3 linked regions of the Notamacropus eugenii genome follow. The protein of the gene in region 1 purifies or fractionates together with the protein of each later gene. This does not show direct contact. Links are inferred from orthologs where the notes say so. Each region holds a gene or a part of one and is shown in the gene's direction. Other genes may lie near its edges. The genes, in order: SERBP1, DNM1L and TSR1.

The links.
Region 2: the proteins of SERBP1 (region 1) and DNM1L purify together in Homo sapiens (affinity purification with mass spectrometry; 3 studies listed by BioGRID and IntAct, with this or other methods). This does not show direct contact. The link is inferred for Notamacropus eugenii from reciprocal best matches to the Homo sapiens genes SERBP1 and DNM1L.
Region 3: the proteins of SERBP1 (region 1) and TSR1 purify together in Homo sapiens (affinity purification with mass spectrometry; 3 studies listed by BioGRID and IntAct, with this or other methods). This does not show direct contact. The link is inferred for Notamacropus eugenii from reciprocal best matches to the Homo sapiens genes SERBP1 and TSR1.

The regions. Positions count from the first base shown.
Region 1 is NC_092873.1:527,949,508-527,959,493, reverse strand, and holds the start of SERBP1 (SERPINE1 mRNA-binding protein 1), read left to right. Parts: upstream 1-4,880; 5' UTR 4,881-5,050; coding exon 5,051-5,414; intron 5,415-6,210; coding exon 6,211-6,361; intron 6,362-6,480; coding exon 6,481-6,624; intron 6,625-6,727; coding exon 6,728-6,823; intron 6,824-7,302; coding exon 7,303-7,422; intron 7,423-9,986. UniProt on the Homo sapiens protein: Ribosome-binding protein that promotes ribosome hibernation, a process during which ribosomes are stabilized in an inactive state and preserved from proteasomal degradation.
Region 2 is NC_092874.1:214,537,284-214,547,895, reverse strand, and holds the start of DNM1L (dynamin-1-like protein), read left to right. Parts: upstream 1-6,146; 5' UTR 6,147-6,161; coding exon 6,162-6,284; intron 6,285-10,612. UniProt on the Homo sapiens protein: Functions in mitochondrial and peroxisomal division.
Region 3 is NC_092873.1:40,319,703-40,329,809, reverse strand, and holds the start of TSR1 (pre-rRNA-processing protein TSR1 homolog), read left to right. Parts: upstream 1-5,262; 5' UTR 5,263-5,299; coding exon 5,300-5,396; intron 5,397-5,568; coding exon 5,569-5,672; intron 5,673-6,515; coding exon 6,516-6,735; intron 6,736-6,868; coding exon 6,869-7,003; intron 7,004-7,236; coding exon 7,237-7,661; intron 7,662-9,112; coding exon 9,113-9,278; intron 9,279-9,812; coding exon 9,813-9,979; intron 9,980-10,107. Other genes in the region: SGSM2 (small G protein signaling modulator 2), read right to left, coding at 3,056-3,112. UniProt on the Homo sapiens protein: Required during maturation of the 40S ribosomal subunit in the nucleolus.

The DNA.
Region 1 (9,986 bases):
CTGGCCATCTGCCTCCTCTGGGCCAAAATTATTTTGGGCTCCCTACTGCCAACAGAGCAGAGTTCAGACGCCTTTCTTTAGCATCAATCAATCAACAAGCATTCATTAGACTCCTACTGGCAAACTAGGCTTCCCTGGGCATCTGAGGACAACAATGAAATTACCTCTACTCAAGAGGTGCTTTTTTTCCTAATGGAGGAGACAAATAAATATGTAATAAAAATACACAACAAACACAGAGCCTTCCACTACACAGTGTGAGTCACCTTTGCCCCCCATTAACTCTAGTTAAATTGTCCATTTTCTGGGTCTTGACATAAGCCTTGTTCCTTTCCAAGTCTGGGCCTTTTCTCAGCTTGTCCTCTGTGCCTGGCATGGCCTCCCTTGACTTTGCCAGTCTTACCTCCTCCAGGAAGACTGCTCCTCTCGGTCAATAAGGGACTTCACCGGATCTGAAAAGCAGTGTAGCCTCCAATTCCAGTAGACCCTGGTTCAAGTCGACCCTCTGACTGGCACTAGCTGGGTGCTTGATCAAAGTGAATAAAGTACTGGACTTGGATCCAGATGATGAGTGCTCCGATTCTGCCTCACACACTTCCTAGCTCTGGGACAGTGGGGTTAATTACAACTTCTAGAGTTAGTAGGGGTTCATGTGAACATGAAATGAGATAACAAGGATGTTTGCTATCACTATGATCTCATTAGTAGACAGAGCTTCTGCCTAGGAAAATCTCAGGTCTGGTTTTTACAGCAGTTCAGTAGCATACTTGATTATTAGGCAGAGACTTGATCTTTTCTAAAGTTGGAAGGGTCTCCCCTGGCACTGTTGGTGTTTAAGAGACATTTGTTGACACCCCCCCCCCCCCCACTAGTAGACTGTAAATGTCCTGAGGATGGGCATTTGTTTTTCTCTTGTCTGTGCCACCTACCCCCTTTTCTCCACACCTGGTGTGCTTTTTGGAGTGGATAGATTCTAGGTTTTGGGAATGAGTGTGGAAATTCCCAGAGCCTTTTCCTGTGAGTTGTTTCCAGGATGGGAAAGTACCCCCCATCTGTGTCTCTTTTCCGTTGGTGTAGGATCTAGAGGAGCAGAGATGATTGGATGGGAGAAAAGAGAAGAGGGCAGATTGGCAGTCATTTGGGGGACAGTTGGAGGCAGGGGGCTGGATCGTTGTTGATTTTGTAGTCTGAGAGTTGCCTGGCCTCTCTTACTTTGTGAAAGCTCTGTGCTAAGCCCTGAGGATGGGCATCTTAGCCGAGTCAGCTCCTGTTCTCCAGGACCTTACAATGTAATGCGGAAAGAGCACACAGAAAAGCTAGATGACAAGGACAAGGGAGCTGGGGACAAGCCTGAAATGGCTATACAGAACACCCTATGTTCTACACAAAGATCCTGTGTATACATACAGCTGTATATATTTGCATAGTCTTCCTTATTAAACTAGAATGTGAGTTCCTGGAGGGCAGGCAACGAGGTTTTCCCTTTTTCTTGGTATCCTCCAGACTTAACTTTGCAAGTTTTTAATAAATGCTTGTGAACTGACTGGCTAAGACAAAATAACAGAAACACTGGTCGGTTAGCCAAGGAGGAGCGTTCTCTGGGAGAACTCGGATTGCTCTCCTGGCCTGTGGTGATACTTGGATCTCATGGAAGCTAGAAAATGACAAGGCTAGGGTAATGCCTTGTCTCTACAGCAGGAGAGTGAATGAATGAATGAGTGAGTGAGTGAGTGAATGAGTGAGTGAGTGAGTGAAGGAGTGAAGGAATGAGTGAGTGAGTGAATGAGTGAGTGAATGAATGAGTGAGTGAGTGAAGGAGTGAATGAATGAGTGAATGAGTGAGTGAAGGAGTGAATGAGTGCATGAAGGAGTGAATGAGTGAGTGAGTGAAGGAATGAGTGAGTGAGTGAATGAGTGGAGTGAGTGAAGGAGTGAATGAGTGAGTGAAGGAGTGAGTGAAGGAGTGAAGGAGTGAAGGAGTGAGTGAAGGAGTGAATGAGTGAGTGAATGAATGAGTGAAGGAGTGAATGAATGAGTGAAGGAGTGAATGAATGAGTGAAGGAGTGAGTGAAGGAGTGAATGAGTGAATGAATGAGTGAGTGAATGAGTGGAGTGAGTGAAGGAGTGAATGAGTGAGTGAAGGAGTGAGTGAAGGAGTGAAGGAGTGAGTGAAGGAGTGAATGAGTGAGTGAATGAATGAGTGAAGGAGTGAATGAATGAGTGAATGAGTGAGTGAATGAATGAGTGAGTGAATGAATGAGTGAAGGAGTGAAGGAGTGAATGAGTGAATGAATGAGTGAGTGAATGAGTGGAGTGAGTGAAGGAGTGAATGAGTGAAGGAGTGAGTGAAGGAGTGAATGAGTGAGTGAATGAATGAGTGAAGGAGTGAGTGAAGGAGTGAGTGAATGAATGAGTGAATGAATGAATGAGTGAAGGAGTGAGTGAAGGAGTGAGTGAAGGAATGAGTGAGTGAATGAGTGAGTGAATGAGTGAGTGAATGAATGAGTCAAGAAGTGAGTGAGTGAAGGAGTGAATGAGTGAAGGAGTGAATGAGTGAGTGAAGGAGTGAGTGAAGGAGTGAATGAGTGAGTGAATGAATGAATGAGTGAAGGAGTGAGTGAAGGAGTGAGTGAAGGAGTGAGTGAATGAATGAGTGAATGAATGAATGAGTGAAGGAGTGAGTGAAGGAGTGAGTGAAGGAATGAGTGAGTGAATGAGTGAGTGAATGAGTGAGTGAATGAATGAGTCAAGAAGTGAGTGAGTGAAGGAGTGAATGAGTGAAGGAGTGAATGAGTGAGTGAAGGAGTGAGTGAAGGAGTGAATGAGTGAGTGAATGAATGAATGAGTGAAGGAGTGAGTGAAGGAGTGAGTGAGTGAATGAGTGAAGGAGTGAGTGAAGGAGTGAGTGAAGGAATGAGTGAGTGAATGAGTGAGTGAATGAGTGAGTGAATGAATGAGTCAAGAAGTGAGTGAGTGAAGGAGTGAGTGAGTGAAGGAGTGAATGAGTGAGTGAATGAATGAGTGAAGGAGTGAATGAATGAGTGAAGGAGTGAATGAATGAGTGAATGAGTGAGTGAATGAATGAGTGAGTGAATGAGTGAGTGAGTGAATGAATGAGTGAAGGAGTGAAGGAGTGAATGAGTGAATGAATGAGTGAGTGAATGAGTGGAGTGAGTGAAGGAGTGAATGAGTGAAGGAGTGAGTGAAGGAGTGAATGAGTGAGTGAATGAATGAGTGAAGGAGTGAGTGAATGAATGAGTGAAGGAGTGAGTGAATGAATGAATGAGTGAAGGAGTGAGTGAAGGAGTGAGTGAGTGAATGAGTGAAGGAGTGAGTGAAGGAGTGAGTGAAGGAATGAGTGAGTGAATGAGTGAGTGAATGAATGAGTCAAGAAGTGAGTGAAGGAGTGAATGAGTGAGTGAATGAATGAGTGAAGGAGTGAGTGAGTGAAGGAGTGAGTGAAGGAGTGAGTGAAGGAGTGAATGAGTGAGTGAATGAATGAGTGAAGGAGTGAGTGAAGGAGTGAGTGAATGAATGAGTGAGTGAGTGAAGGAGTGAATGAGTGAGTGAATGAATGAGTGAAGGAGTGAGTGAGTGAAGGAGTGAATGAGTGAAGGAGTGAGTGAAGGAGTGAGTGAAGGAGTGAGCGAAGGAGTGAGCGAATGAATGAGTGAAGGAGTGAATGAATGAATGAGTGAAGGAGTGAGTGAATGAATGAATGAGTGAAGGAGTGAGTGAAGGAGTGAGTGAGTGAATGAGTGAAGGAGTGAGTGAAGGAGTGAGTGAAGGAATGAGTGAGTGAATGAGTGAGTGAATGAATGAGTCAAGAAGTGAGTGAGTGAAGGAGTGAATGAGTGAGTGAATGAATGAGTGAAGGAGTGAGTGAGTGAAGGAGTGAGTGAAGGAGTGAGTGAAGGAGTGAATGAGTGAGTGAATGAATGAGTGAAGGAGTGAGTGAAGGAGTGAGTGAATGAATGAGTGAGTGAGTGAAGGAGTGAATGAGTGAGTGAATGAATGAGTGAAGGAGTGAGTGAAGGAGTGAGTGAATGAATGAGTGAGTGAGTGAAGGAGTGAATGAGTGAGTGAATGAATGAGTGAAGGAGTGAGTGAGTGAAGGAGTGAGTGAAGGAGTGAGTGAAGGAGTGAGCGAAGACAGGCCCCCCCAGAAGGGTCACGGCTGCCCCTGGCCCAGCCCTTCGCCCCAAGGCGGACCCTAGGGGCTCTCCAGCCGCCGCGGCACCCCCCCCCCTTAGCAGACCCCGACGCTTGGGGCGCACACAGGGGGAGCTTGGAGGAGTTGGGGGCGTGGCAGGCGCCCCTCCCCAGGCCCCCTGTAGGCGGGGACGCTCCGGGGGGCGTCTTGGGGGCTGGGGGGCGGACCCAGCCCGGCAGGGGGGCAGGAGGAGCCTGGCCGTGGCGGTCACAGCGGGGAGGGGGGGGGGGGCACCCCCGGCGGGGCTGGCGGGGGGCCCGGCCGGCTGAAGCCCCCCGAGGGCAGGCCGCTCTCCGCCTTCTCGGCATGCAGGGGCGGCTAATAAATGCACACCGCCTCCTGCCCACCGCGGGACGCTCGGAAAACCGGCGCTGCCTCGCGCGGCCTCAGTCTCCCGGCCTGGAGAAGAGGAGTAGGAGTGGGCGGGCCCCACGCCGGAGGGAGTGACCTTGACCGTGCTCGCCACGTGCGGCCGTCCTCGCCCGCCAGGGGGGCGGGGGCGCGGGGCCGGAGGCGGCAGGTGCTCGGGCTCGGGTCTCCTCCCCCGCCTCCCCGCCGCGCTCCGCCCTCCCCGCGCCGCTTCGCGCCCGCCGGCGCGCGCCGCCCCCTGGGAGTTGTAGTCCGTGCTGGCGCAAGCTCGGGCGGAGCGGCGCCGGCCGCCTGCCCTTCCCGGCGTGCCCCGCGGCGCCGGCGGCTCCCGGATGTGTGCGCGGCGCCGGAAGAGAAGGCGGTCCCTCTCTCGGCCCGGCCATCTTGTGGGGACGAGCTGAAGCAGGCGCCGTCGGCTCGGCGCGGCCCGCTGCAATCCGTGGAGGAACGCGCCGCCGGGGCCCCATCATGCCCGGCCACCTGCAGGAAGGCTTCGGCTGCGTCGTCACCAACCGGTTCGACCAGCTATTTGACGACGAATCGGACCCCTTCGAGGTGCTGAAGGCGGCCGAGAACAAGAAGAAGGAAGGCGGCGGCGGCGGGGGCGGCGGCGGGCCCGGGCCCAAGAGCGCGGCGCAGGCCGCGGCCCAGGCCGGCGCGGGCGGCGGGGGCGCGCCCGGGAAGCCGCTGCGCAAGGAGTCGCAGAAGGACCGCAAGAACCCGCTGCCGCCGCCCGCGCCGCCCAGCGCCGCCGCCTCCGGCCCGGCCGCCGCCACCGCGGCCGACAAGAAGGACGAGGCCCCGCCGCCGCCCGCCGCGCTCAAGAAAGAAGGTGCGGGCCGGGGAACCGCGGGGGGGAGGGGGGGCCCACGTGCGGCCCGGGAGGGGGAGGGAGCAGGGAGCCACGTGCGGCCCAGCCGGGAAACTGAGGCCGCGGCACGTGGCGAGCGGGGCGGGGGGCCGGGCCGGGCCCAGCGCGCCGGGGAGAGCGGAACCGAACCGGCCTCCGGGCCTTGCCGGGGGTAGCTGTGGGCATTTATCCGGGGTCGGTTCGGAACCGGCCCCTTGGGGACGGAGGGGGTGCGCCTTCGGGGGGCTTGCGGGGTTCGTGTCGGGGGCGGGAGCCTTTGTTCGTTCGGGGGTTTGGCCCCGGGCGCCCTCGTGCCCACCCTTCCTGCAGCTCCGCCCGGGCCCCCCTACTCCCAGAACGGGGGGCGCGTGCGGGCCACCCCCGAATCCCGGAGTGAAAGCCTTGGCGCTCCCGTCAGGGAGGCTCGGTGTCCGCGATGTGCCGGGCGCTCCTGGCCCGCGGGCATCGTGAATCCACAGGTCCCGTGTGCTTGTGGGGCGTCCTGCTGTGTAGACGGCGCCCGGGTCCTGTGTAGACGGCAGGGGGCGGGTCCCTGGGCCTCGCCGGACGTTTGTAGCTTGTTAGAGCGCGGCTCTGGGGGTGGCTTTCCGGGGGCTGCTGTTGGGGTCCGGCGCTGGCATGGGCGCGTTAGCCGGGCCTAAGCCGGGCCGGTCCGTCCGTGTGCGGGGCCGGCCGCTCTGCCCGCCTGGGCCGTCCCCGTCAGGAACCCCCGGCCGGGCTTCCCTACCGCCGCCCACCTCCGCGCTCTGCCCCGCAGGGATCCGGCGCGTCGGCCGCAGGCCGGACCAGCAGCTGCCGGGCGAGGGCAAGCCGATGGAGCGGAGGCTGGAGCGGCGGCCGCCCCGCGAGCGGCGCTTCGAGAAGGCGGCGGAGGACAAGGGCGAGGGCGCCGAGTTCTCGGTGGACAAGTGAGTGCGCGGGGCCTGCCGGGGTGGGGTGGGTGGGGGGCGGCCGGCCCCTGGGGGGCGCGGCTGGGAGCGGGGCAGACCCCGCGGGCCGACCCCAAGCTGCCGCTCTCGCCCCCCAGGCCCGTGCTGGAGCGGCCCGTGCGGGGGCGCGGCGGCCCCGGGGGCAGAGGCCGGGGAGGCCGGGGCCGCGGCCTGGGCAGAGGGGACGGCTTCGACGCCCGCGGGAAGAGAGAGTTCGACCGGCACAGCGGGAGCGACAGATCGTAAGTGGGGCCGCTGTGGGTGCGGGGGCTGCGGGGGGCTGCGGGAGCCCTGGGCTGCGCTGCGGCCGCGGCCCGCCACTGCCGTGTTAACTCAGGCGGGCAGTTCTTTCTCCCATTCGCATTTCAGCGGGCTGAAGCACGAGGACAAGCGCGGCGGCGGCGGCTCGCACAACTGGGGCACGGTCAAGGACGAGCTGACGTGAGTGTCCCCTCGGGGCCCCCCTCCCCTCGGGGCCCCCCTCCGCGCGGCCGCTCTGGGGGGGGGGCCTCGGGAAACCCTGGGGGGTCGTTGGGCGCTGGAGGAAACTGAGGCAGGCGCAGGGGAAGCCGGGTGCATGGGGCAGGATTTGAACTCGCACCTTTGCGGTGTCGGTCCTGTCCTTAGTAAGGTACGGTTTATCCGGAATTGGGATGTCGTGGAATGCTCGATGATCCGAGCTTTCCTTCCTTTCCTGGTATTTACGAACACGCGGACGGTTCTGGTCCCGTAGCAGCTGAGCTGGAGTATCTGAGTCTTGTTCGCTGCCGAGGATGAATGCTTTGATGCTCTTGCTGGAAGCTCGGGAATGTTTTGGGGTGGGGGGAGATAGTTGATGTTTTTATTTGGGGAGAGGGGCCGCACAACTGGGGAACGGATAAAGAACCAGGCGCCTTTCTTGTCTCTCTTTCTCTCCTTAGAGGGGGCCCCCAATACATTCAGAAACCAATGTCTTATAATTGCAGTGACTTGGAGCAAACCACTGTGACCGAGGAGACACCTGAGGGAGAAGAGCATCCAGTGGCTGACACAGAAAATAAGTGAGTTATCCTCTTATTCTCCCCCATCCCAAGCCACGGCCTCTCCCGAGCACAGGGACTCTGAATGGAGGTGGTGTTGGGTCTGATCAGAGAAGGCATTTTGATTGAAAGTGGAATAGTGATCATGAGGAAGAGAAGAGGAAAAGTTGACCAATTAATTGGAGATCTGGTGAGTCTCCTAGGTGACATTTTCTGATGGATGTGTCGGGGTAGAATTGGGGGAAGTTGTGGTAGCGCGTGGCACCTGTTTAGTCTTTTAATGCAGCCCCCACGAGGGACGAAGGGTCCGCTATATTTCCCTTTGACACTGAAATGGGTTTCACCCCATTTATGTGTTCAGTAAATCCCTGGATTCTTGTGTCTGAATGATACAGATTTCCTTTTAGATCAGGAACATAATTCTGAGAGGCCAGGTAGCTAGCTAGTGTTTCGTAACAGTTCTTCTTCTCCAGCCCGCAAGCCCTGAAAGTACATGAGCATGCACAGTCATTTTTTCCTGTCTAGTTTTAAGACAGAACGAAAGATTCTATTTGCATATACTAATATTCATATCCCCGTAGGAAAATCTGTTCTAAAAGGTGAAGTCTCTTAGCTTACATAGAGTTCAGGTGGTAAAAAGAATTACATCTGGAAAATCAAATGGATTAAAGTCAGGCTATTACATGAAGCATCCTGGAGAGCCATATTGACATGTTTGATAAGTCGGATTCATCTGTTTTTGTGCTAAAGTGCCTTTAATTTTGCAGTCGTTCCTTTAAGACAGAAACATGAGAGATTGTGGATAGCCCCCATCAGAAATCTAGTCCCAAGTCATCAGTTATCCCAGTGGAGCAGGATTGTAAACATTTGCTAGAGGAATATTAATGCCACTAAAAAGAGAAGACTCTTAGAAGCAAAAGCATTAACCAAAGTGATGGGGCACCAGAATTGGGAACCTCTAGTCACAGGACAGTGGAGGGACGAGGGGGGCGTGTGGGCTGCTTCTCCAGTGGGGATACCTTACTTTCTGTCCCCCTGTTGCCTCCCCTACATCTGAAAGCATATGCACTGTTCTCTACCCTGGGGCCCACCTCCTTTCCCCTCCAGGGCTGAGCCTCCTTACAAAGTTTTTCATGCTGTGCTCCGTTTCCTTTGCTAGAGTTAGGTTTGCTTCACTCTTCATCTTCCCTTGATCTAAACTCTTAAATTCTTAATATTTGTCCTGCCTTATGCACCTCGTGCTTAAAGAAATTGGAGTAGGGCATTCCAAGCTGAATTGACTAGCCTGCTTACCCACTGGCATAGACTTCTGCAGGGAGCTGCTTCTCATCACCCTTGCTACTAGCGCCCCCTCCAGAGCTGCCTTGGATTTGTTTCGTCCATGGTGGGGAGTACATACCGATCCACTCTTGTGATAGATGGGAGTGCTTTGAGCAAAGGTGGCCTCAGCTGTTAGTGTCTTTATCTCCCCAGTGCCTTGTGTTCTTCATCCACAGTATAGGGAATTTGCAGGATTGGTGATCCGAATGAAAGGTTTTACAAGGAGTTTTTTAATAGGCTCTACCTGTATTCAGTATAGGTAGGGTTCTCTTGTCCCTTGAGAGAGGCTATGCTCATACTTCAGGGATGTGCAGGTTCTTCTATCAGTGCAGATTAAAAACCTGCTCTGGCGCAGCCAACCTGGTAACGGCCAAATGCTGGCCTCCCTAGGCTGCGCTGGCAGTGAAGCCCATCCCTAGTACCTGTCGGCAGCGGGCTCCCCACCGGCAACTTGTCCAAGATCTCTGCATCACCTCTGTGCCGTGACATCCATTCCTTTTAGGCATTTTTCTTTTTTCTTTTAAACTTAAATACAAAATAAGAAAGCGAAAAAATGTGTGTAGCAGAACATAAGAGAGGATTTAAAATGCAAAGCAATTTCTATTTCAAGCAAGCCTGTAATAAATACTCTCCACTGGATTCAGAGGTAGGCCGCCTTCTTGACTGAACTCAGTGTCTTAGGAGTCACCTGGTCTTTTGTTTTTATTGTGAGTGCTAAGTTTACTTCAACAAGTATCTTTGATGGGCGCTGGGAGTGAAGAGCTGTAAACAGACCCTACTTCACAATTGCATAATTATTCATTTGTTAGGGGAGCGTTTCTCACAGGAGACCAGAAAGTCCAAAACAGGGTGGTCAGTAGCCCTTGTTTCGGAGCTGCAGTGACTTTAATGAGGTTGTCAGGATGTGGGCGTTTGATTGTGTTCTCCTTTGTTCATCTCTTCTAACCTAACTTATATGTGGATGATTCACAAAGCTCAAGGTCAGATCTTGATCATTCTCCTGAACTCCCAGGGGTTTCTAGAACATCCTTTCTCCCTAAATCTGCATTTCCCAATTTGCATATTTCTGTCAAAGAATCACGTGATTCGAATCTATCAGAAAGAACTCCAGGTGAATGAGAATCTGCCCATGTGGTTGACAAGTTGTGGTCAAGCTGCTCCTCCGACCTTGGGTCAGCAGGAAGGGGAACCTGCAGCCTTCCTGGAAGGCCCATGAGGTCTGCTGTAAGGTGGTTGGTGTTGATTGGTGGGGAGTTTTCCTTGAT
Region 2 (10,612 bases), on another chromosome or scaffold:
CTTTCCTATGTCAGTTATCTGTTTAGGGCAGGAAGCCTACCACTTACTAGTGGTGGGATTTCCGAGACATATGTTTACCCAGCTTGGAATCCCAAGGCCTGACCAACATTACTTTGTTAATTGTCTTGTCTTACTAAATTTATGATTTGTTCAACTAGGAGAGTTCCTTTCTCACGGCAAAATGTATATAAGCCAGAAGATTTCTGCACTGGGTAGCCAGAACATTTCTGGCTCCATAATGCATTATGTTACTGTTTTCTTTAATAGGGAATTGATTAATTAATTAAATCATAAAATGTATGCATTTAGCCATGTTGCCTTTTCTTGGTAAGTTTTCAGGTCAACACCTACAATGTGCTGTTTACAAGAAACACATTTCAAACAGAGGGGTACACCCGGTAAATTTGAAAGGCTGGAGCAGAATATATTCTGCTTCAGCCAAAGTTAAAAAAAAAAAAGCAAAGGCAGCAATTCTGATCTCAGGCAAAACAAAAGCCAAAACAGATCTAATTAAAAGAGATGAGGAATGAAACTATATCCTGTTAAAAGGTATCATAAACAATGAAATAATATCATTACTAAACATATATGCACCAAGTGGTATAGCATCCAAATTGTTAGAGGAGCAGTAAGGAGTTACAGGAAGAAACAGACAAGAAGACCATACTAGTAGGGGACTTCAACCTCCCCCTCTAAGAACTAGATAAATCTCACCACAAAATAAACAAGAAAGAAGTTAAGGAGATGAATAGAATTTTTAAAAAGTTATATATCGTAGACCACTGGAGAAAACTGAATGGAGATAGAAAGGAATATACCTTATTCTCAAAGTTATATATCGTAGACCACTGGAGAAAACTGAATGGGGATAGAAAGGAATATACCTTATCCAGTGTGTACATGGCACACTTACACAAAAATTGACCATGTACTATGGCGTAAAAACTTCACAATCCAATGCAGAAAAGCATAAATATTAAATGTATCCTTTTCAGATCACGATGCAATAAAAATTATATGTAATGAAGGGACATGGATAGATAGACTAAAAGTTGGAAACTAAATAATCTAATCCTAAACAATGAGTGGGTCAAACAACAAATCATAGAAACAACAACTTCATCCAAGAGAATGACATTGAGACAACATACCAAAACTTGTTGGATGTAGTGAAAGTGGTTTTTAGGGGGAAATTTTACATCTCTAAATGTTCACATGAATAAAACAGAGAAAGAGGAGGTCAATGAATTGAGCATACAACTAAAAAAAGCTAGAAAAAGAACAAATTAAAAATCTCCAATTAAATACCAAATTAGAAATTCTGAAAACCAAAGAGGAGATTAATAAAATTGAAATTAAGAAAACTACTGAACTAATAAAACTAAGAGCTGGTTTTATGAAAAAAAAAACACCAATAAAATAGCTAAAACTTTGTTTAATTTGATTTTTAAAAAAGAATAAAACCAAATTATTAGTATCAAACATGAAAAGGGTGAATTCAACACCAATGAAAAGGCAACTAAAACAATAATTAGGAACTATTTTGCCCAACTGTATGCTCATAAATTTGACCATCTCAGTGAAATGGATAAATTTTTACAAACACTTAAATGGCCCAGATTGATGGAAGAGGAAATAAAATGCTTCAATAACCTCATTTCAGAAAAAGAAACTGAACAAACCATCAATGAAAAAGAAAAAATCTCCAGGGCCAGATGGATGTATGTACAAGTGAATTCTACCAAACGTTTGAAGAACAATTAATTCTAATACTATATAGAGTATTTGGGAAAATAGACAAAGAAGGAATACTACCAAATTCTTTTTATGATACAAATACAGTCCTGATACCTCAACTGGGAAGAGTCAAAACAGAGAAAGAAAAATGTAGACCAATTTCCCTAATGAATATAGATGCAAAAGTGTTCAATAAAATATTAGCAAAAAGATTACAGTGACTTACCATGAGAATGGTAAGTACATTATGACCAGGTAGGACTTATTACCAGGAATGCGGGGATGGAGGAGGATGGAGGATATAGCATCATTGCCCAACTGGAACTGATCATTATTACTACTCACAGACTATTGCGCCTCCTTTTTTCTCAGAGGCCCAATGACATCAGGAGGGTGAAGCCTTGACTTGCAAGTGAATTCGATATAAGTGAAACAGGGCTTGCAAAGTTACCAGCCTCGCTCTCTCCTCCCCAGTCACTGGAGTGTAGTGGCAAGACATAGGTCAGGACTTGGACCTAGAGGCGGCAGGTTCCCAGCCCCTGTAAATTTGGCCTCATATTTTAGAGAAAAAATTGAGATTTTTCACCATCCTCTTTCTCATATTATTCAGATGACTTCTGCTTCTATCTTCTTTAACTGTCTCAAATGATAAAGAAGGCTTTTTCCTTACCAAGGCTAACTCCTCTACCTGTTCAAGCAATTCCATTCTATCCTGTCTCCTCCAATATCTTGCTCCCTTTGCTATCCCCCCTCTTATTTATTTTTACCTTTCCCTTTTTACTGGCTCATTTCTTACTGCCTACAAACATGCCCCATGTTTTCCCCTTCTCAAAAAAACCAAACTCATCTGATCCTTCATCCACAGTAACTGTAATCCAGTATTTCTTCTGTCTTTTATAACTAAACTCTTCAAAAAGGCCCTCCACAATAGATGCTTCCATTTTCTCTTCTCTCACTTTCTTCTTAACCTCTTACAATATGGCTTCTGACATCATTCTACTAGCACTTCTCTCTCAAAGGTTACCAGTGATCTCTTAATTGCCTGATCCAATGGCCTTTTTTCAATCCTCCTTCTCCTTGATATCTCTGCAGTTTTTGAGACTGAGGATCACCCTCTCTTCCTTTCTCTAGATTTTTGGAACACTACATTCTTCTGATTTTCCTCCTTCCTATCTGACAGCTTCTTTTCATTCTCCTTTGCTGGATCCTCCTCCAGATCATGTCCTCTATCCATAGGTGTCCCTCAGGGTTCTTATCCTCTCTCCTTTTCTCTTCTCCTATACCACTTCACTTGGAGATCTCATCCGTTCACATGGATTAAATTACCATCTCCATGTTTGATTCTCAAGTCTACCTATTCTGTATCAACCTCTCTTCTCACTTTCTTTCATTTCCCATTGCTTTTTAGACATCTCAAAATGGATGTCCAAGTAGACACTAACTAAACATGTCCAAAACTCATTATTTCCTCTCCACCCCCTTCCCTGTAACTGTAGAGGGCAACACCATCTCTTTGACCCTCAGGCTCACATCCAAAGAGTTAGTAACTTCTATATCTCATATTCTCTATATATCCAAGCTATTGTCAAGGCTTATCAATTTCAGTTCTTCAGCATTTCTCACAGACATTCCTTTCTCTCCTTTGATACTACCATCACTATAGCATAGGCTCTTATCACGTCACACTTGGATAATTCCAATAGACTGCTGGTGGATCTGCCACCAAAGACTTATGACATATAAAAACTTCAAGAGACATAGTTTTGGATAATTATTTTATTAATCATGCCAGCAATAATTGCTCAGGGGCTTTCTTGAATATCATAGACCTCTCATGCAATCCACTCAATGTTTATGCCCTTGGAAGAGTGGGTGTACCTGAGGGTGACTATCAAATCTGATTGGTTAACAATCAATGTGAAGAATGAATATTATAATGAGAGATGGATCTATTCTAATGAGGGGCTGGGACTTGTGACTCTGATCACTCCTTTTTGGACATAGAACCATAGATTAAATTCTTTGTAAGGTTCTTTCGTTGAGTAGGTCAACACTTCCAAGATATCATCTCATCATCAGCCCTTTTCTTCAGAGAACTAAGCTTTGATCTAATCTCCAAATGAAGATGAGAAAAAATCACTGGTCTCCCTAATACTTGGTTATTTAATAATCATTTCTCTCAGACTTGAGGTCTTTCCCTAATCCAATTCATCCATATAGCCATTAAAGTGTTTTCCTAAAGCACTGTTTTGACCATGTCTGTCCCTTCCTCAAGAAACACCAGTGGCTACTGATAGCAGTCAGGATCAAATAAAAAAATGCTTTGCATAACCTACCCATTCCTACCTTTCCAAACTTCTTATGCCATACTCCTTGCCATGTATTCTTTGATCCAGTGATACTGGCCTCCTGGCTCTTCCAAAAATAAGGCACATCTCTTGGCTAAGGGCATTTTCTCCGGCTGTCCTCCATGCCTAGAATGTTTTCCCTCTTCAAAACTGCCTACTGACTTTCCTGGTTTCTTTTAAATCTCAACTAAAATCCCATCTTTTACAGGAAGCCTTTCCTAATTCTCTTAACTCCTAATGCCTTTCCTTTGTTAATTATTTCCCATTTTTCTTTATATATTTGTTTGTATGTTGCGTTCCCTATTAGACTGCAAATTCCCTGAGGGCAAGGATTGTCATTTTCCTCTTTTTGTTCCCTTTTTTAAGTCCTCCAGGACTCAGCCTAGTGTCCGGTATACATTAAGTGCTTAATAAATGATTATTGATTGATTGTAGCTGGCTCCAAATGAGGGACTCAGGAACTCTTTACCTCTCAAAATAATCAGGCTCCCTCCAAAGAAGGAAACATCTATCTCAGGATTGCTGCTTGAATAGCTTTATGCAGGGAATGAGAAACAATTGACAACAGGTAGCCAGGATCTGAGGCTTCAACTCGGGCTAACAATCAGGTAATCAGCCTAAGTCCTGCTATGTGCTGCCATAGGTTCTTGAGGTTGTAGGGGTGTGGAGAAAGTACATCTAGCAGAAGGGGAAAAGAACCTCTCTCCTTTCTCTTCACCAGAATTTCCAGGCACACGTTATAAGAGTACAGGATTATATATTTAGAGTCATATGCCTTCCTGTTCCAGATGAGGAAAATGAGGCTAAAAGAGCTGAAGTGATTAGCACAGCTATGAAGTGGCAGAACTGGGATTAGAACCTATGTCCTGTTTCCAAATTCTGCATATTTTTTTTTCAATTTTCCCATGGTAACAACTGTATAGGACAGACCTAGAGCTGAAATTCCCTCTCCCTGAAACTGACTAGGTTCTTCCTGACTCAATGGTCTTTTTTTTTTTTTTTTGAAAGAAGGACCCTCTGCAGCCCCAAGAAATCAACAAAGTTAATTGGCGTCCTAAAGCTATGAGGTGTCTCAGTTCTGTGCCGAATGGGGGTCTCAGGCAGGAGGCAGAAGAGTCCAAGTCTGCAGCATGATGCTCCAGTGGGGTATGTTTTATCCCGAGAAGTTCAGGGGGCCCTCTCCTTAAAGGAGTAACACAAATATGTATTACATATAAATATATGTGTATATAAACATATGTGTATACACAACACATAAGTCATAATGCATACACACATATGTATATATATATGTATATGTCCTCAACCTCTCAAACAATTTGAAGTAGTCTTTATTAGCAAATTAAAGGTAATGAAATACTGATCAGTTTCCTCGTGCTGAAAACGGATCTCCCAGCTCTTAACCCCAAGAACCTGTAATTCTGATTTGTTACCACAACAGGCAAACTTGTAAAAGCACCCAGAGCAGTTTCTCCCCACCCACCCTTTCTTTCTCCCCGGACTACAATTCCCGTCAGCCTTTGTGACTCTCTTCTGTAGTCCCTGTCCACACCCCTTTTTGGCGCACAGCTTGATGGGAGGGAGTAAGTAAAGGGGCGGACCAAGTCCAATGGGTGCTGGCTCTAGAGGAGGAGGAAGAAGAGGGGGAGGAGGAAAGCGACTAGAAGGTGGAGGTGAACTCCGGGCCCGGCCTCATTCATTGCTTCTGCCCGGCGGGTCAGGGGCCTTGCGTTCCAAGAACCATGGAGGCGCTGATCCCAGTTATCAACAAGCTCCAGGACGTTTTTAACACCGTGGGCGCCGACATCATCCAGCTACCCCAGATCGTCGTAGTTGGAACCCAGGTAATGCTGGGGCCTGGGCTGGCTGGGCCGCTGCACTACAGCAGGCTAGGCCGCCTCTAGGCCTCAGGGCAGGGCCAGGCGGGGCAGGGTGGGGTTGGGTGGAGCTGGGGGGCCCGGCCTTTTGCACCCTGCAGCTACTCTTTCATCCGGTTGTTTGGGCCTCCCTGGGGACTGGGAGGGATCCTGGTAGGCGGAGTCGCCTCGGCTCGGCGCGGCGCCGGTCCGGGGAGCTATGGTGGTGTGGAATGAGCAGGGAAGGTGCCCTGGGGAGGGCCCTCGGTTTCCAAGGGCAACTGAGGGACAAGCGGGGTGCGTGGAAGGGGAAGCCGCCCAGGAGCTCAGGATCGGTGCCCGAGTTTGCTCGGCAGTCTCGGTGCTTGGTTTTCCTTTTCTCACCTCTCGGGCTCACCCTGGGCCGCAAAGCGAATTATGGATCAGAGCAGCAGAATGTGAGAGGGCTTCAGGGTTCATCCGAGCCTTGTGAAGTTTCACCTTCCGGGATTCTTGAAAAGCTTGGCCATTACGCGCACGCGCACGGGGCACCATCCCCCATCCCCACTCCCACGCTGGCGCGCACGCTGTCCCCTACACTGGCCTCACACCATAACACTCCCCCCCATTACCCCCCGCTGTGGTGCTGGCGAGGGTCACCTGGGTTCGCCTCTGCAGGGCGTGGTTTTTACCTTCTCTGATAAAACACTTTACTGCCATAAATGTTCTTCCCACTGTGAGACTGGGCAATCCACGCTGGCCTGCTCACAGAATTGTGGAAGCGAATGCTTTAAAGTATAGGAAGTCATATTCCCTAATGTGCCTTAGTGAATTAGGGAGAGTGGAAAGATGGAAAGGTCTCTGTCTTGTTTTTCCCTAGTACTTTGCTGGAATAAGGGGTGAAGTAGAATCGTATGTTGGTTTTTGTTGTGAACTGAAGACCTGAGAAGCTATCTACATGTTTTCGTTTCCTAATAACAGTTCATGAGAGTATATTTATAGTGCGTTTATTTATGATCTGTATAATATATATGGAAAGAAATAGGTAATTTGTTTTTGAGGGGGAGAGAAGATAAGGAAAGGCTTTATATGGAAGGGGACACGTGAACTTGGAAAACAAAAAGGGCAAACTCATGGAGATTGGAAATGGAGTATTCTGTAGGAGAGACAGTGGTGATAAGACTGAAATAGGTATTCTGGGGCCAGGTTGTGCAGGGCTTTAAGTGCCAAACACAGAAGTTTGTATGTGATCCTGGAAATGATTGGGAGGAGACACTGGAATTTGATATGGGAGGTAGGTTAGATTTGGGCTTGAGGAAAATTATTTTGACAGCCTTGTAGAAGAGGAAACTTAAAGAGTGTGAGCAGTTGGGAGGGGTGGTGTGGGCCCTGACCAGGAGTGGTGACAGTGAGATTAGAGAGGAGGAGACAATGTGAGAATTTTTGGAGATAGTTGGATTTGATACAGAGAAAATACAAAGACAATATTGCTTCAAAATGGTAACTACAGTAACCATTAACCAATTTCCCCCCTCTAATCTGCGAAGGGACTTTTAAACAGCATGTAGACCAAATTGTAGAGTTTGACTGAAAAGGGATCTTAGAGGTTAGTTGTGCAAGTTCCTTCATTTTACTCATAAGGAAACAAGCTCAGAGAGATAAATGACTTGCTAAAGATCATATAATGGTAGAACCATGAATAAGAATCCTTGCCTCCTGGTTTTTAAACACTGTTCTTTCAACCCTATATTATAGAATTAGTGGTCATAATATTCAGTCAATGTGACAGCATGGTGAAGTGCACAGTGAGCCGACTTTGGGATCAAGAAAATCTGATTTCCAAGTCCCTCTTTTGACATATGCTGACTTAACTATATGACCCTGGGCATGTCCTTAACTTTTCTGTGCTACTCTCTAAGTATTCTAACATTTGCAAAGTTATATTGGTGGGAGGGAGTGTCCTCCTTCCCTTTGTAAGGAACTCATGTTCCCTACAAAAATAAAACCCCAGGTTTGGTTAAATACAAAAAAAGTTGAATTTTGCATATATATATAGAGAGAGAGTGAGATACATAATAATTGAGACAGCTAGATGGTGCAGAGGATAGCATGCTGGGCTTGGAATCAGGAAGACTTATCTTTGTAAATTTAAATCTGACCTCAGATCACTTAGTAGATGTGCTGATCCTAGACAAGTTATTCAAACCTGTTTGACTCAGTTTTCTTATTTGTAAAATGAGCTGGAGAAGGAAATGATAAACCACTCACGTATCTTTGTCAAGAAAATACCAAACGGTCATGAAGTCAGAAGTCATTGAACAACAAGAACATGTAATAATTAATGCTTGTATTAATAATTCTGTGAAACTATAAGTTCTTAAAGTACCTTTTGAGATATTAAAGGAATAAGTCATCTTCAGGTTTCAGTAAATTTTATTGTTTACCATTGTTTTCTGAATTTGCGATTTTAAGGACCCTTCCATTTTATAGTCTATATTTAAGAATTTTAATAGTTACATAGTATCATGGGGAACTATTTTGGAACTGTTTCCTGGCTGTAAAAGGCCACTGCGAACCAGAAACTTTCCATCAATTTTAAAGCTCTGTGTATATAGGAGAAATATGAACTTAGCAAGAAGACAAAGAATCAGGCATATAATGTGTCAACATAAATAGTTTAAGAACAAGAAGGATTTATCTTACACTTAATGGAGTTTATTTCTCTCAGTATACTGATGAATATATTCATGAACTAGCCATTAAATTGGGAGGAGCTATGAGAAAAGAGAAAAAAAAACCTTTGTGAAAACCAGTGACTTCTTGAAAAAATCTATAATTGATGCCTCCATTTCTTAGATCATGCATTTAGATCTCTAAGGGTCATGTATTCCAACCATTTCATTTTAGATATGAAACTGAGGGTCAGAGAAGGTTAGTGACTTGCCCAAGGTTACACAGCCATTATTTGTCAGAGGTGAGCCTTAAACCCAGGTCTACTGGACTCTGGAGCCAGCTCTCTCTCCAAATGCTACAGTCTCATAACAGTGATTTATTAGATAATTGATATTAAATACCAATACACTTGATTAAAATTGCCTTGTAGTTATTTACATTAGTACATGAAATATCACATTTATTTTTACATATTTTATGTAGCTGAATTTTTTGGGATTTACTACTCACTTGTAGCTTACATAGTCCCATCCAGAATCATATTTAAATGTTTCCCCATTAATTACTAAATTGCGTCATTTAAGCTCTGATCCCTCACCCCAGCTTAATTGAATATTTTAATAAGCTAGAGAAACCCCCTTCTATAAGTGGTGGCTCATATCTTTATATATGAGAACTCCTGATCTGCTCAGTTAATTACTGGCTACATATAATTTGTTAATGTTGCCAGTCATAACACAGACAGGTAAATATTTACAATGTTTTAGCTGTGAGAGTATCACAGCTAGAATCACTTCAAACCATTTAACTGCAGATGTCTTTGCTTCTAAAAACACAGGCCTTTCTTTAAGGATATCAATTAAAGTCCTTTCTCAAGAATTCTCTCTGCAAGATAGAGAGTTCCATAAATAAAAAGGTCTCTTCATTCTCTTTTCTTTGCCTTCTTACAGTTTCTTTTAGCTTTGAAACTTCTCGTGATGTACTCTCTCAGTTTGTTCATAGCATGACCATTAAACTGTAGGTGTACTTCACTCCATTTCTTGTCAGTCATCACAGTCAACTAATACCAGAGTACAACATACACTTGCCATTATGTCAAGATGCTGTGTCTTTTATAACAGTAACAGTAGTTAGAGCTTTTGTAGAAGAGGCTACAAGAGCTAGAATTACACTGATATTTTTATTCACCTTCATTTCTCTCCCTGCCTTTTAGGATTCCTTTTAATAAAGACTTTAAAAAGGAAGGGGGAAAAGGCATTTAAGGTAAACCCGGGAAAGGAGGTAACATTTTGTTACATTTGTAACATTTTCTGTTGTAAGTTGATCACTCCCACTCCAGCCATATTGTGAAGGATAATATGATTTCATTCTCTTAAAATTTTTTTAATGGCATGACTATTTATATTCATTTTATCAGTTTTAAACTAATTTTGGTATATGGTATAAGTCTGACAAATCCTTTTATTAAGGGAATTTGTTCTGTGAAGTTTGGATTCAGTTAAAGGACTGCACTTGAGGACCTAGAGGGCCACATGTTGCATCAAGGCTGCAGGTTCCTGGCTCCTGGTATAAGAGGTTGATCTAGATCTAGTTTTTGCCAAGCTGCTTTCTAAATTTCTTAGAAATCTTGTCAGAAAAGGGAGTGTCCCCCTCCCTCCGCAAAGTAATTTCTTATTTATTGTGTTTTCCAGACACCTAGCTACAATTTGTTTTAAAAGCGATGTCTTCATTATACTGTAGTCTACTAATGTGCAGTATTATGCCTAAAAAATGTGCATGCTTTGATTTAAAATACTTTAAAATTGCTAAAAAAAAATGCTAATGATCATCTGAGCCTTCACCAAATTGTAATCTTTTTTGCTGGTGAAGGGTCTTGCCTCCTTGTTGGTGGCTGCTGACTGATCAGGTTGGTGGTTGCAAAGGTGGAGGTAGCTGGGGCAATTTCTTAAAATTAGACACCAATGAAGTTTGCTGCCTCTATTGACTCTTCCTTTCACTTGAACATTTAGAGGCCCTTGT
Region 3 (10,107 bases), about 490 Mb from region 1:
CTCAGTATACTAAGCCTCAGAGAAGCAGTTGGTGAAACTGATGGCCCAGACAGGCTGAATCTAATGTCCAGTGGAGGCAACTATGCCTGCCTGCTGGTGTTAGTCTGGAAGTGTCTGGGCCACAAAGGGTTCTGGAGGTGGGGTCCCCAGGCTTGGTGGGATGAGGTCTCCCCAGTAGATAATCTATCCCTTAAGAAGGTCAGACTGACTTAGCACAAGGTAATGCATTCACAACAAGGTCAGGGGTTGTTCACTCTTGAGTCCTCTCAGATGCTTCCTATAGACTTGAGAACCCCAGCCTACTTGCAGGTAGAAAACCTCCACCCCTGGTATCTTGGCATCCACCCAGATATGAGGGCTACTTTTTGTGGCCTACCTTCTTCCATCAATTGGCTCTCCCAGACTCAGGGCTCCCCTGGATCTGGGGAGGGGGCTTTTATTTCTTCGAGGATCATGCTTTTAGTTTACTAAGCTATCAATGGCCCAGTCACCAAGCATTATTAAGTGCCCACTATGTGTCAAGCACTGGGCATGCAGAGATTAGAAAAAGAACAATGCCTACATTCTAGCTGGTTCCTAAGAGTGCTTGAATTTTAACTGGGAGACAGGGTTATAGATCAGCAGGAGTGATACTATCCATTTTGGTAGGGTGGGGGGATGGTGGTGCCTATTTATTATTCCACATTAAAGAAAGTCTGGTCCTGCCTGCAAGAGGACTTTTTTTAGCTTGGGGCTCCACTTAGTGAGAAGCAAGGTAAAGTTTCCCAGAACCAATTCATTTTTTTTCCTCCTGAGGCAATCAGGGTTAAGTGACTTGCCTAGGGTCACACAGCTACTAAAGTGTCAAGTGTTTGAGGTCAAATTTGAACTCAGGTCCTCTTGACTCCTGGTGCTTTAGCTATCTGGCCACCTAGCTGCCCCAGAATCAATTACTTCTAAAGTCCTACAGGTGGAGATGTGAATAACTTCAGGGTTAATCCAGGGAATGTGAGAAGCCTTGCTGATTCCTGGGGCTTGTAAATTACAGGCATGCCTCCTTACTCCTGTTTGGAAACCACTCATTTTGATTAGGTCTCATTCATTAAGGAAACAGTGGAAAGAAAGAGTGCTGGACTGGAAGTCAAGAAGACCTGAGTTAAAAAACCAACTTTGTCATTAAATAGCTGTGACCTCAGGCATGTCATTAACCTTTCTGGGCCTCAGCTTCCTGATCTGTAAAGTTGAGGTGGTTGACCCCTCAGTTCACTTCCAGCTCTAAATCTATGATCCTATGATGGCCTGGCTCGACATCTTCAGATTCCTGGCCTCCCCCTCACCTGACAAACCTCACCAATTTTCAGCATTGTCCAAATATAACCCGGTTAGGCTAGGCTCTTTGTCCTAGTTTGCTTTTTTATCAGTGTGTCCTGCTTCCCACATCATCCGGCCCATCTCCCCTGAGAACAGAGTCTGTTTTCTACTTGTGAGCTGGTTTTATTTATTTCCCCTGGGTAAGATTCAGTTGGTCATCAGTCTGCCTGTCTGGGGATCTGGTGTGTTTAATGTCTTCCTGGCTATGTTCATTCAGGTGCATTCAGGAATCTCACTACTAACAGGGGAGATTAGGATGTTCAATATTCCAGGGCAAGAACTGTCTTTGCCTTTCTTTGTACCTTACAGAGCTCAGTAGAGTGTCTGGTGCATAGGAAACCCTTAATAAATACTTGTTGACTGGCTGGTTGAATTAGGAGGCATCCTTCAAATTTCAGAAGCTTCATCCCTACCTTTGTGGAAAGGAGTAAGAGAATGGATATACAAAGGAAAGGCAGTCAACCTTGGGTTTAAGAGTGGGTTAGTGCAGTCCTTCCTGAAGGAAGGAAAAGAGGATTCTTTGCTAAGAAGCAGTATCCCTGCCCCCAAAGACCCCTGAAACCAGCCTACCCTGGGTCCTGAAATTGGTCACCACACCAGCCTCTTGGATCCTGCCAGACTTCCATTTAGCCTTTTACAGGGTCTAAGAGACCATCTAAGCCTTGGTCTACCACACAGCCCAGCATGCCCCAAGTAAAGAATTCCCCCTTTCCCTCTAGGCTCTGAGGGGAGGGGTTCTCTTTTCCCTAGGGACATTTGCTCTCAAATAGCTCAGAAGTAGGGTTGGGGTGTGTGGATATTGGGATGTCTATGGTTGGAAGACAGGGCCCCAAGATCAGGATGCAGAGAAAGGGGCTTGGTTGGCTTGAGTATAATAATAAATGCTTGGGTCGATTGGACATTTTCAGAGATGAACCCCATAAAGGGCAGAGAACATGGCAGGGCAGCTAAGACCATAACAAGGGAGGGAATCACACTGATGGAAGGGGGAAATGGCATCTGAAAGCAACAGGGAATAGAAGAGGCCAGAGTGGCAAGGTACAAGGAAACTGGGGAAGGGGGCATCCCTATTTGGAAAGTCAAGGGTTCCCACAGGCTGAAAATGTAGAAGATCGCACGGGTGTTTCTCAGGCAAGAACCCGATAGTGGTTTGGCTTATGGGGGTGGGAGGAGGGAGAAACAGTCTGGGTGCGGAAAACCCTTCTGCAGCAAAGTCCCAGGTCCCGGGAGCCGGGAAGCTAAGCTTCCAACTTCAACGACCCTCGAGCCCCAGAGCTGGGGGTGGGTGCCCTGAATTGCCCCGGCTCCCAAGGGAATCCATTCAGAAACCGCGCCCCGCCCCCCCGTTTCCCTCCTGCGGGGTTTCAAATGAATGAACCTTATCCCCCTCCTTCAATCTCTTCCACAGGAACTACCTCTCCCCCCTGGCCCCCCTCCCCGCTCCCGAACTGCTGCTGCCGTCATAGGGTGGGGAGCTGCAGGGACCGCGGAGAAAACAAGCACCGGGGAACGCTGGATGAGACTCTCCCCCTCGTACAGGGTCTTCCCAAATCAGAGAGGGTCCTTCCAAAGCAAGAAGGGGACCTTAAAGCACTGGGCCACGCCGAGGCTGGACCTTTTGGAGTCCTATCTCCCGACCATGCTGGGGCTTGTTGGGGTGCACCCACTAGGACCGGGCTCCTTGCATTCCCGGCGCGAACCTCACCTCCTTTTTGACGTTCCACAGTAATTTCTCTTTGATTGCGTCCTCGGTGCGGCTCATTGTGCCCAGGGGAGCGGAGCCCCGCGCCGACTAGCCCCGGCTGCTGCCACTGGCCCCGCTCCTGGTCCGGTTCTCCGCGGTTCAGCTGCCCGCCGGCAAGGCGGAGCCCCGGCCCGCCGCTGCCGCCGCGCTCACGGCACCCTGCAGCCGCCGCTGCCCGCCGTTCCCCTCCGCAGCCATCTTCCGAGCCCGGCACAGACAGACGTCAGGAGGCTGGCCCGGCCCCTTCCCACAGCCGGGGGAGCTTGGGGAGGCGGGAGGGGGAGGCAGCGTCTACCTGGGGCGGGGGAAGCGAGGAGGGCTGGCCTGGGAGCCGCGTGCCATCCAGCAGCCGCCGCCATGGCAACGAACTCCCCCCGCCCACCCCCGCACCCCTAGTCCCGAGGGCGTGCGTCTGGAGCACTGCGAGGGCCCCCCACCCATCCACCTCCTTTGACCCGGGAATGGTGGGAGAAAGGAGGGGACAATGCAACAGGATTCCCCTGGGTGGGGAAGTGGGAGGCTTGGGGAGAGGAGGGAGACTCTTTACCCGACTGAAAAGTAGAGGGCCCCAAAAGGTGGATGCCACCCAAGTATAACGGCTTCTCTTGCCGAGCAGAGAGATCAGTTCGAGGGCATAGGCAACTGGAGGGGAGCGTCTACAAGGCGAGCCCCGTGGATTGAGAACCCCGTAACTGTGGCAGGGTCTAGAGCAGTAATATTAGTCCTTCAGGGCTTGCAAGGAGCTATCCTCCGCCCCAGCTCGGGACTTGGGCGAACCTTAGGCCAGCAGGGTTTCCGAAGGGATGGAGAAGCACCCCAGGCTGGAGGCTGGGAATCTGGGTGATGAAATAAACATGAATTGCTCGCTCTCTCGCTCACTCGCTCTTTCCGCTCCTCTACCTTCTCTCAGAGATGAAGTCCAACGTATATCTGGCTATATCTTTGTGTACCAAATTGTTTGCATGTAGTGAACTCGTGGAGAGCAATGGCTATTTTTTTTTTTTGCTTTTCTTTAAATCCCCACCCCCACCCCCCGTGCTCAGCACAGTGCCTCGTGCGTAAAAGATGCTTAATAAATTGATATTGCTTGACTCGACTCTGCCTCCGGATTCGTTCCAGGGCGGGTACCCCCTGTTTACAATCCGCAGCAGCTGGGGTGTGGGGAGCGATGGCAGGGTTGCAAACTCTGGGTCTTGGAGTCGAGTTAGGCTTAGTTTGGCCAGAGACAGTCACAGGATGATGTGTGTGTGTGTGTGTGTGTGTGTGTGTGTGTGTGTGTGTGTGTGTGTGTGTGTGTGTGTGTGTGTGTGTGTGTGTGTGTGTGTGTGTGTGTGTGTGTGTGTGTGTGTGTGTGTGTGTGTGTGCAGAGGTGAAGGGACTTGCTTTAAGCCTGAAACATTCGCTTAGTCCCAATTCCAGAAGTTAGGAGAGAAGACTTAGGCTGAGAGGCATCTCCCCTCTCTGAGCCCATTTTCTTTTCTGTTAAGTGACTTGGGAGACCTAGAAAATTGGGTGGGTTGTTCTTTTGTCTGTCTGTGGCATTCAGGGCGGAGCACGGCGCCTGGCACACAGTGGGCGCCTCATAAATTTTTGATGATAATGGTGATGAGATTACCTCCCAGGGCCCTTCCAATTCCAAATCCTTTAGTTCCCCGGGGAGTTCTGCAGAAAGGAAAAGGACACTAGGGCCCTGAAAGGAAGGAAGGAAAAAAACGGTTGATGTGAATTGGAGAAGTCACGAGCAGCTCTGGGCTGCAGGACCAGACGCAGAGCAGTGGAGGCTCCGTCCTTGTGTGCCAGAAGCTCGGAAGGGCCTGGGGGTGGGGTCTCCATAGTCACAAGCAAATAGCCAACCTGCCCTCCCATCCCCCGCAACTAAAGCAGGGTATTCTCGTAAACCAGGAGACAAGAAGCAAACTCCGAGGCCGAGGGAGGGTTCTGGGGAAGCCTGACCGAACTTGCAATTAAAGCCCCCAAGTCCGCAGGTGACCACGTGGGGGAAGGTTAGAGCGCGATAGGCTGTAGGTCTCAAATACTCCCATTGGCTGAGGAGTGATCTACTCTTGAAACTGGGGAAAGCCCCGCCCCTCCACCGAAACTCCGCCCCCTGGCAGAGCCCCCACCCACTCAGGCCTCTGTGCTGGCGGAACCGGAACCCCTGGGCTTAGCACCGGAAGTCGTAGGTTCACGCACGTGGGGAGCAATATGGCGGTTCATCGCGCCGGCCCGCTCAAACAGCAGAATAAGGCCCACAAGAGCGGGCGCCACCGGGGTCGGGGTTCGGCGCAGCGGGACGGCAAAGGTGAGGGGGTCACGGGAGCGGGCGGAAGGAGGGCTCAGCTCAGCCCTTTCTCCGTCCTTGCGGGCGCAGGAGGCCTTTCTCCGCCCTGGCCTCCGCCGTAGTCGGCCGCCTCGGCTGCCGCAGGGCCCCGGACTCACGGTCGGCTCTCTGCCCTCCCGGGGCCGCCTTCCAGGTCGCGTGGCCGTGAAGGCCCTGAGCAAGAGGAGGAGGAAGGAGCTGAGCCGAGTGGACCAGAGGCACCGGGCCAGCCAGCTCCGGAAGCAGAAGAAGGAGGCGGTGAGGCGGGGGGTGGGGGCTGAACGCCTGCCCCCAACCCCAGCGGCCCCCTTCCCTTCCGCGGCATCTCCCGAAGTTTAGCCGAAACTCCAGTTTCCTCCCCTCTCACGTGGCCGTCGCGTGGGTTCAGGCCGCCCTCCTGTCTAAGTTACTGCCATATCCTACTGGACCTTTCCCTGTGGAGCCTCTCCTTTCTCTGTCTTTCCTCCACGCTGTTTTCGAAGTAATCTTCCCAAGAAATAAGTCATCACGAAACTCCCTGCTCAGAACCGCCCTCGCCTCCCGGCACTGCTTCCTCTCCCCTGCTGCCTTTCCCGGACCACCCCCCTTAGTTCCCTGGTGCTGACTCCGTGCTGTAAATCTCACGGAGAACAAAAACTCCTGGCAGACAGGGACAGTCCACTTTTGTCCTCGTGTCTCTGGCCTCTCCCCCAGCGTCCGACACAAAGATGCCCCATAGTGGTTGATGAGGAGGCCCTGCCTTGAGTTAGAGGTCTGGTCAGCATTCTTCTCCTGGCCCCATCGCTCGCTGTAGATAGAGCATCCTGGTCCAGGGTGCAGGATGCCTTTAGAGACAGTGTGGTACCCCCAAATAATGTTGTTGCATGTAAGAGTTGGAGAACCAGCAATTTCATCCTGGCCTTGCTGTGACCCGGAACAAGCTCCCTCCCTCAATAAGACTTTGTTTCCTTAAGACTGGAGGTTGGGTTAGATAGTTTCTCAATTCTGTGGTCCTCAAGGTAGAGAGATCATTTGAATGGAATACTGAGTATGAGAATGAGGGAAATAGGGCAGGTGGACCTGCCTGTGAAGTGCTCACCCGCCTCTCTTCTCTGTCCTCAGGTTTTGGCAGAAAAGAGGCAACTGGGCAGCAAGGATGGACCACCTCATCAGGTGCTGCTGGTGCCCCTGCATGAGAGGGTTTCCCTGGGTGAGGCTTTGCAGCTGCTCCAGAACACAGACAAGAAGGTTGTGCCTGTGGGGGAGCAAGCTGGAATGCCAAGCTTCATGCTGCTCTGTCCTCAGCTGAAGCATCGATGGTTCTTTACATCTGCAAAACCAGGTGGGTGAAAGGCCAAGGGAGGAGCAGCGTTGGGCTGAGCTTGACTTGGACTGTCCCTGTCATAGTTAGTTGGCCAGTGTTCTTAGTGTTTTCTGAGTGTTTGTGATGTCTTGTTGATGCCTTGTGAATCCAGGCGATCTGCACACTCTGTTGGACCTTGCCAAAGTGGCTGATACCATCCTGTTTGTTCTGGATCCAGTGGAGGGCTGGGACAGCACAGGCGATTACTGCCTCTCTTGCCTCTTTGCTCAGGGGCTTCCTACATATTGTAAGTGAATTATGATTATCAGCCATCTCTAGGAGAGCGGTAGGATCCTCTTCTTAGGGGCCAAGTTACCCACATAGTACTGATTGAGTGTCTTAGTTTGTGGGTTTATCCTCCGTCCCTTGTCTGCCACCTCTATGCTGGGTTTGGTGCTCTGTGTTTAGTGCAGAGTGAACGGTTCATTAATTGCAGTGGGCTTTCATGGCTCATAACTACTTGTCTGTTTTTGTGCCCAGCTCTAGCCCTCCAGGGGGTTGGGGGCCTTCTCCCAAAGAAACAAGCAGATGCCAAGAAGAAGCTGAGCAAGGCCTTAGATAAGCGATTTCCAGGAGACAAACTGCTCCAGTTGGATACCCAGCAGGATGCAGTGCTGCTTCTGCGACATCTGGCTAACCAGAAGCAGCGGCATCTGGCCTTCCGAGACCGGCGTTCCTACTTGTTTGCCCATGCTGCTGACTTTGTGCCCAGCCAAGAGAGCAGCTTGGTGGGCACCTTAAAAGTTTCAGGCTATGTTCGTGGGCAGACTCTCAACGTAAACCGGCTCCTGCATATCGTTGGGCATGGTGATTTCCAGATCAAGCAGATTGACGCACCCCCAGACCCTTTTCCTCTAAATCCCAGGGTGATCAAGGCCAGCAAAGGCCTGGACATGGTGATGCAGGTGTGTGGTATCACTGGGCTGTACTTGCTGATGATCGGCTGGTTTCCAAGGAAGCTGGCAGCTCGTTTTTGTTTTTTGATTAAAAATTTTTCTTTTTTGTTAATTGTTACTGGAAAGAGAATGATAGTTATGGCTAACTCTGTAGATCTGTATTGGCACGTAGTAAGTGCTTAATCGATGCTTTTAGTCCATTACGTTCCATCTGAAAATAGACTAGGGATGCCTCTGTGCTTTATCTAAGTCATGGTTTGAGAGATGAAATCATCAGTGGGAGAGACATGGTTAGGTAACAGCTGGTCTGAAAAAATCTCCAGGCTTTAGCAGATCACTATTCAGCATGAGTCAGGCAGGTGAATATGATTTGGGGCTGTACTAAGGCCAGGGAGGTGGGAGACCTTCCCTCAAGGGGAAGAACTCTCCAGGTGAGGGGAATAAAATGGATAAAGGGACAGGTGCAAGGAGGAGCAGCACATAGTCATATGCTAGCAAAGACATTGGCCCTACTAGAGGTGGGGGGGATGTCTTGGAGAGTGATGGAGGTTGCTGAGGAGGGTGGAAAATAGGCAGACCTGACTACTTAGGAAATAGCCATTGAAAATTTACCAGCAGGTTCTTGGAATCCTCTATCGCAGAAAAGCAGCATTTAGGGAAGATCGCTGTGGCAGCTAAGTGACACTATAGTGCACAGAGCACCCTGCTTGAAGTTGGGAAGCCTCAACTTGAGTTCAAATCCAGCCTCAGTCACTTAATGGCTGTATGACCTTGGACAAGTCACTTAAACCTAGTTGCCTCAGTTTCCTCATCTGTAAAATGATCTGGAAAAGGAAATGGCAAAAATCTCTCTGATATTTTTGCTAAGAAAACCTCACATGGGGTCATGAGTAAAAAATGACTTTTAACAAAGTGTGGCAGCCACATGTAGGATAGATTCGAGCATAGGAAAGGAGGGGGTCTTTTTTGTTTCTGCCTTAAAATGAGCTGAGTTGTGTTAACCAACCATGTACCTCTCTCTGGCCCTAGTAAAGAAGGTGTCGATTAGAAGAATGTAGCCTTAACCACCCTTAGTAAGGGTGAATTTTAGCTCAAGGTGAAACTTAATCCTATTGTGAAATGAACCTGTAGAATAAGTCAACATTTAGGTGGCCCCTGAAGGCTTGCAAAGTACTTTGTATATGTTATTTACTTTGTAATGACCCTGGGAAGTGAATGTCATTATTACTGGGCTAGGTGGTCCAGTCTGCTACCAGGCCATCAACTGTGGGCTTTTAGTGTGAGAGCAGATGGCAGACAGAATCAGTGTGGAGGATGCCAGCCTTAGTGGGATGGGGCTGGGGAGCAGAGCAGCCTGCTTCTGATGTGTAGTTGGGGGAATGGGGGGTACATAGCATCCATGTTGTGCTCTTAGTAAGAAAACACCTGACTGAGTGACCTGTGGCTTGCTTCCCTCTCAGATTGATGTTGCTGATGCTGATGGTGCAGTTGAGATGGAAGAAGATCTGAAGGTCCTAGTGAAAGCAGACCCTGCTCGACAGGAATCTCTCCAGTCAGAAGTGGTTCCAGACCCCATGGAGGGGGAACAAACCTGGCCCACTGAGGAGGAGTTGAACGAGGCAAAGGGTTGGTCCCCCTTTTGGTCCTTTCATTCCTGTTCACTGGGATCCTGGGTTTCCTGGGGCCCCTCCTCCAGTGAAGGTCCAATAGGATGGGCAGCCAGGCTTGGTTGTGGGGGAAATGCACGCACCTCCTGAACAATGGAGCATGGCTTTGATCTGTGTTATTCAGTCTGCTTGGATCTGAGTGCAAGCATGGAATCAGGAGAGGGGACTTCCAAGGCAGGAGGTTGTAATCTGGTTTGGTACCTGTTGGTGTTACTTGGAAATGAGGCCAGTGACTGAGTTTTCTTTGGAGGTAGACTTCATTCCGTCTCCATAGACTTCCTTAGGGTAGACAAGGCTAGCCCTTCCTTTGGGCTGCACGTGAGTAGTAGTACTTGGCTAGACTTTTTTTTGGCTTTTTTTTTAAATTTTATTTTTTGATTAACAACCATTTATTTTCTCTCCCCTGTCAACCCTCTCCCATATAAGAAAAACAAAATGCTTGTAACAGAAATGCATGGCCAACATTGTCCCTGACTCTGATTGTATTTGACAGACTTCTTAAAGCAAAGAACCAGAGTGGTGAAGAAAGTCCCCAAAGGAACATCCAGTTACCAGGCTGAATGGATTGTGGATGAGGAAGCTGGCAGCAGTGGTGAGGAGGAGGACGAGGACAGCGGGGAGGAGGAGACTGAGGATTTCATGGAGGAGGAAGATTCTGGGGTGAGCAAGGCCGAGGGCAGCTGTGGAACTGCAGCTTTCATTACTGAGATCAAGGCTGTAGCCACGCCCGGAGATCTGATGTCCACTAAAGTAGACAAGGGGCCCCATGATGGCCTGGCTGGCTTGTT